Linked DNA regions of Bombyx mori. The protein of the gene in region 1 purifies or fractionates together with the protein of each later gene. This does not show direct contact. Links are inferred from orthologs where the notes say so. Each region holds a gene or a part of one and is shown on either strand. Other genes may lie near its edges.

What was found. The genes of interacting proteins can lie anywhere in the genome.
Region 2: the proteins of F-box/LRR-repeat protein 16 (region 1) and S-phase kinase-associated protein purify together in Homo sapiens (affinity purification with western blotting; 5 studies listed by BioGRID and IntAct, with this or other methods). This does not show direct contact. The link is inferred for Bombyx mori from reciprocal best matches to the Homo sapiens genes FBXL16 and SKP1.

The regions. Positions count from the first base shown.
Region 1 is NC_085117.1:11,694,028-11,697,527, reverse strand, and holds part of F-box/LRR-repeat protein 16, read left to right. Parts: intron 1-49; coding exon 50-172; intron 173-1,062; coding exon 1,063-1,231; intron 1,232-1,846; coding exon 1,847-2,042; intron 2,043-2,825; coding exon 2,826-2,974; intron 2,975-3,500. UniProt on the Homo sapiens protein: Substrate-recognition component of the SCF (SKP1-CUL1-F-box protein)-type E3 ubiquitin ligase complex.
Region 2 is NC_085119.1:7,149,929-7,153,019, forward strand, and holds S-phase kinase-associated protein, read left to right. Parts: upstream 1-1,184; 5' UTR 1,185-1,331; intron 1,332-1,422; coding exon 1,423-1,911; 3' UTR 1,912-2,591; downstream 2,592-3,091. UniProt on the Homo sapiens protein: Essential component of the SCF (SKP1-CUL1-F-box protein) ubiquitin ligase complex, which mediates the ubiquitination of proteins involved in cell cycle progression, signal transduction and transcription.

The sequences.
Region 1 (3,500 bases):
TTGTAAAGCATCTATCATTACAGAAGACTTACTTTACTGTCCATTTTAGGTACTGTTTGAGTTAGAACTAACAGGATGTAATGAAATAACAGAAGCCGGATTATGGGCATGTCTAACACCTCGAATTGTATCACTCACGCTTACTGACTGCATTAACATAGCTGATGAGGCTGTAAGTATTTAACTTCAATTCATAGATAACTACAGTACAATGTTTTTACTCTTCGAGTCTATTCACCATGATGTATAAATTTTTGTGAAATTAAAAAAAAGGCTTATTTCCCACGATTTTTTGTTTTTGATAATTATGGAATCGATTGCCGTCCAGAACTAAATAACAAATACTTTCAAATGTTATACAAAGATGAATTATTTCTTAGACTGCTTATTAACGCCTTCGCTATGTCATCATTCAATTGACTTTTAAAACTTGACACGATTGAAAAACTTGTAATAAAAGTAATAATATGTCAATGTAAATAATCACACTATCAAATGTCGTTTCATCAACACTGTTTTGAGTAAGTTTAGTGATAAGAAAGTTGCATTCAATTTTATTTAAAACAAGCGGCCCGCTTCGGCTCCGCTCGGGTCTTTAACAAAAATTTCAACGATATTTGACGTTTTATTTTTTTAAATAAAATAACCCTTATTGAGGCATAACTATAATAGTTAGAAATACCTATATGCTGTCGCGACACTTTTTGTTAATAATAATGTGTTCTACAAAGTCGTAGTACATTATTTTATTCTATCACCAATAGTTTTCGCAGGGCACACGATGAAAAGAATATTTTAGGTAATTTTTTTACGCCTTGGGTTACATTATTGGAGTTTTAGTAAGGATCCCTAATTTTTTCAAAAAATATTATAGCCTATATCACTCGGGAATAGTGTAGTTTCCAAACAGTTTAAGAATTTTTCAAATAGGTTCAGTAGTTTCGGAGCCTATTCAAGACAAACAAACAAACAAATCTTTCCTCTTTATAATATTACTAGTATTAGTATAGATTATTATAGATAAATACTACTACATACTAATAACTCGTATTTCATACGAAGGTTGGAGCTGTCGCACAATTGCTTCCGTCCCTGTACGAGTTCTCATTGCAAGCCTACCACGTCACGGATGCAGCCCTCGGTTACTTCTCTCCAAAGCAGAGCGCATCGCTGAGCGTCCTGCGTCTGCAGAGTTGCTGGGAACTCACCAATCATGGTGTTGTTAATATCGGTAAAGATAACATTAATTTTCATTTTATTACCCTCTTTTTTTCCCTACCTAAGCTTGTAGCCTTGAGAGGCTATGCCAACGTAACCGAGCGAGTAGGTGAGCTCACGGGGCTCTAACCTTGGGACATTGCTAACACTAGCCCTAGTTAGGGCAGTGCTTCGCAGAATCTACCATCGAATTGGAAATGTAACCCACAGAAGATCTGGCGAGAAACTCAGTGGGTTAAACTGCCTTCGTATCATATAGAGAATAACATTTAATGACAACTGTTAATAGTAAAGTTTAACATGAAAGCTGTAACTTTGTAGTTAGAACAGCACCGCCCTATGCCCTTCGCTGCTTATTGCTAATTCTATGATATAAAAACATTTCTTAGAACTATTCACGCGCCATCTATTGTAAGTTGATGGTACTATGACAGAAACCTTGGAGCGCTAACCACAATTGTACTAAGATCAATAGTTTAGGAACGCATAGAGGAGGCGGGATTCGAACCCGCGACCCCCTTGTGTAGTGACCATGTCACTTACCACTACACCAGACGGCCGTTAATAAAATCCCTTAAAAAAAATCTTGGTTGAATGTACTGAACGTGCCGTGTTTGTGCTGGCGCAGTGCACTCGTTGCCGAACCTGACGGTGCTGTCGCTGAGCGGCTGCAGCAAGGTGACGGACGAGGGCGTGGAGCTGCTGGCGGAGAACCTGCCGCGCCTGCGCAGCCTCGACCTGAGCTGGTGTCCGCGCGTCACCGACAGCTCGCTCGAGTACATCGCCTGCGACCTCAACCACCTCGAAGAGCTCACTCTCGATAGGTAACGCGTAATCGTTTACTCAAGCTTTTCTCACACACTTTTCGTTGATTCCTTTTTTTTATATTAAATACGGCTAAAACGTTTATTCTTCTTCGTTCTATTGAAATATACTCTTCCCTGGTTCATATAGTCCATGTTACCCTACGTTCTTATTACCTTGACCAACATCTATTGTAATGGAATTTTTCGACATAATTTTTGTTTATTCAAAATGTCTAATTAACTTTAAAATTTGCGTACGTATCAAAGACTGATGACAAGGTAATAATAATGATAATGTACTAGTTTAATAATTTTTTTATTTTTAATAAATTTAATTTAAAATTAACTTCTTAAGGATGTGTGCTGACCAGGATAAAAAAAATACTTTTACAGCAAGCTTGCCATTCGAGCGTGTTTTATTTTAAACTATATATTTTTGTCCGTGATTTTTGTTTATTTTTTTATTGCTTAGATGGGTGGACGAGCTCACAGCCCACCTGGTGTTAAATGGTTACCGGGGCCCACATACATCTACAACGTAAATACCGCCATCCACGTCGAGACATTAGTTCTAAGGTCTCAGTATAGTTACAACGGCTGCCCACCCTTCAAACCGAAACACATTACTGCTTCACGGCAGAAATAGGCACGGTGGTGGTACCTTCCCGTATGGACTCACAAGAAAGAGGTCCTACCACCAATAATGATCATAAAGAAATCACAAACGCGTTGGTAACAGCATTTATAAAATAAACAGTTCTTAAACTCAATATAAATCTACAAAACCTGTGTCCCCTCCAGATGTGTGCATATAACGGACATCGGCGTGGGGTACATCAGCACCATGCAGACCCTGGTGGCGCTGTACCTTCGCTGGTGCTCGCAGCTGCGAGACTTCGGCGTGCAACATCTTTGTACCATGCGGTCTTTACAGTGTCTGTCCTTAGCAGGTATGAGAATTTGTTTAGTCCGTACAAACATACTTACCGGTTTCCAAGAAAATATATAGAGCCAATATATTTTTACATCATAAAACCTCTAGTATTTCTGAGAGATTATTTTTGTGATGCTTGTGTTGTATATTATTTTATTAACTACTAGCCGTACTCGCCCGCTTCGCTGGGCCTTTAAAATTAACATTATTATTTATTGTCATTATTATTAGTGAGTCCAACGCTCATGTAAATATTAGCCTATCCATTAAGTACATGTATTTTCTACATGTATACCAAGTTTCAAGTCGATCGGATGCATGGTTCAGTAGTTATAGCGGAGCATCCATAAAAACCACTGTAGATTTATATATTAGTATAGAATAGATAAATACAAAATAAATATAGAAAATGCTAGTTGTCATTGCCATTGTTAGACAGCCCTCAAACTCATTTTAGGAGTTAGAACAGAAAATTAGAATAGATAAACAGGCATAATAAAGAAGTTATTCATAACATTTCTCGGCACCCGTTTAAGTATCAG
Region 2 (3,091 bases), on another chromosome or scaffold:
TATGCTGTATCATAAAAAAATAGAAATTAAAAATTTTGTCTAAAAAATAAAAATAAAAATTTAGGGGTGGACTACCCCTAACATTTAGGGGGATGAAAAATATATGTTGGCCGATTCTCATAGATACCGGATAAGCACAAAAAATTTCATCAAAATCGGTCAAGCCGTTTCGGAGGAGTATGGCAACGAAAACTGTGACACGAGAATTTTATATATTAGATTTCTTCTTTACTCCATTCACAAGTTTCTTTTTTTTTTTAGTTGTGTGGGAAACTAAGTGTGTATCTATGGTGGGAAATGAATGTTGGTGTTGGAGGGACTTTTTGGCGGGAACGCGAGGAGTGAAGTGGTGTGATTTGTTTTATTTTGTCTATTTAGTGTTTCTTCAGGTTTAAATATGTAATAACGGTGGCTTATTAACTGTTTAATATCTGTGAAAGTGCACAAAAGTGGGAAAATGAAACAAAGCTGCTGGACGTAAGTTCTCGGGTTCCTCTAAAAAGTCTACTGAAAAAATCTCAGTAAATGACCACCATTTTACTGAGATCATATTTCATCCCATATCATCAAATTTCATTTAATTTCATCTAAGTTGATTAATTTCTCAAATTAATCATCTTCATTTCATTTCATTTATCTCCATATTATCATTTTTCATAAAAATAAGAATATAAATTAAAATAAGACATGACTTAAAGGTCTTAGTTATGAGGTCATAAAATCCCTTAAAAAACAATTGGTGTTGGAGGTACTTTTGGCGGGAGCGCGAGGAGTGAAGTTGTGTGATTTGTTTTATTTTGTCTATTTAGTGTTTCTTCAGGTTTAAATGTGTAATAACGGTGGTTTATTAAATGTTTAATATCTGTGAAAGTGCACAAAAGTGGGAAAATGAAACAAAGCTGCTGGACGTAACTTCTCGAGTTCCTCCAAAAAGTCCACTGAAAAAATCTTAGTAAATAACCACCATTTTACTGAGATTATATTTCATACCATATCAACTCATTTCATTTAATTTCATCCCAGTTGATTAATGTCTCAAATTAATCATCTTCATTTCATTTCACTCCATAATAAAAAATTTATAAAAATCTGAATATAAATTAAAAAAAGACATGACCTAAAGGTCTTAGTTACCAGGTCATAAAATCCCTTAGAAAAATTTAAACGAAAGCAGAAAAAAAAACAAAATTGATTAATGATTTTATTCATTCGTTCACTCATTGATTCACTGTTTGGGTTTAAGGAAAAATCTCCAGAACATAAGGGCATTTTCGTTTGAAGATAAATAAATTTCACTTAATTGTGAACATTCAAATACTTGAAAAAACAAGGTAAATACTTCGCTATTTATAAATTGGAAAATGGCGTCTTATTCTCAGCCGTCGTTTTATGATTTACGTTCCCACCGCTCTTTTGTTCTAGATGCCAAATATTAAGTTGCAATCATCAGACAACGAGGTCTTCGTTGTTGATGTTGAAATCGCCAAATGCTCCGTAACTATCAAAACTATGCTAGAAGACTTAGGCATGGAAGAGGATGAAGAGGAAGTTGTACCTTTACCTAATGTCAATTCTGCAATACTCAAAAAAGTTATTCAGTGGGCTACTTATCATAAAGACGATCCTCCGCTACCAGAAGATGACGAAAACAAGGAAAAGAGGACTGATGACATATCATCATGGGATGCTGATTTTTTGAAAGTTGACCAAGGCACACTCTTTGAATTAATATTAGCTGCAAATTATTTGGACATCAAGGGTTTATTAGATGTCACATGTAAAACTGTAGCAAACATGATCAAAGGAAAGACTCCTGAAGAAATCCGTAAAACGTTCAACATTAAGAATGATTTCACTGCTGCAGAAGAAGATCAGGTTCGTAAAGAGAATGAATGGTGTGAAGAAAAGTAAACCATAATAAATGCTATTTGCAAGCATCTTTATGTATTATCACTATGTATGCAACATTAAACTATTTTTCCCATGGCAATAAAGAATAATTAATTTAAACCAAGTAAATTTGTTTGTGTTGTAAATTATATAAAAATAGGTACATCATGTCATTGTGATTTTCAATAAAATTTAAATTTTCATATTATCATTTAAATTACTTTTCATTTAACTTTAATTGTATTATATTTATTGGAAAATTTACTTTATGAAATAGAAATAATTAGCATAAATCACTGACTTAAATTTTTGTCATCTGCTTATTTTTTAACTAATTGTGTGGGTAGTCTTGATTGTGTCCAGAAATTGCCAGTATCCATTGCAATGTTAAACCACAAAAATAAGTTTGTCACCATCAATGTCAATACAAAAAGTAAATAAATATACAGTCACAACCGTTTACTGCGACATCATTTTGAGCAACATGCTGGTTATAATAACCTAGAACAAAGGTCCCGGCTGAATGCTATATGACCGCCTTATTAAAAACATTGCTTTATACGACATTGCTAATACCGACATACCTAATAAAATGACCACATTTAACTAATATTTCGGAGAATTAGATCTGTTAGAACGACCGGCTAAGCTGTATTGTAAACAATTTGAATAGGTATCCACATTTGTCTTCAATGGCTATTAAAATCAGGAAAGAAAACAATAGGATTTTGTTTAGTGTAGGGTCTTTTCTAATTCTTAGAAACAAAAATGTGTATGCGGTAGAGTCAAAGCCCACTTCTTCATATCTTTTCAGTTAGTTTGTTACTTATCTATACACAAGACACACCAAAACTTTGTGGAGTTATTCGTGAAACTTTCAAAATGTTGCAAAGAAAAAAAACAAATTAATAACAAAGAAAAATTGCGTTTTGTGTAAATATATTTTTCCAATAATTCACTATCGATTTGTTTGTACTTTGTTTGTACTTGCACGATACACATTAAACATCACTGGTTGTTACGACTGAATATGAGCAGTCCCTTCGATGTTGTTATAATAGATTTTCACTGTATATGTATGTATTTGATAACCACATTCCCTTAGTCAGTTCCTGATGCTAAGATAGAATTAAACCATCAGCATAACAAATGAAAATAATATATATGAAACAATTTTTTCCTCTTAGATATTTGTCATTAA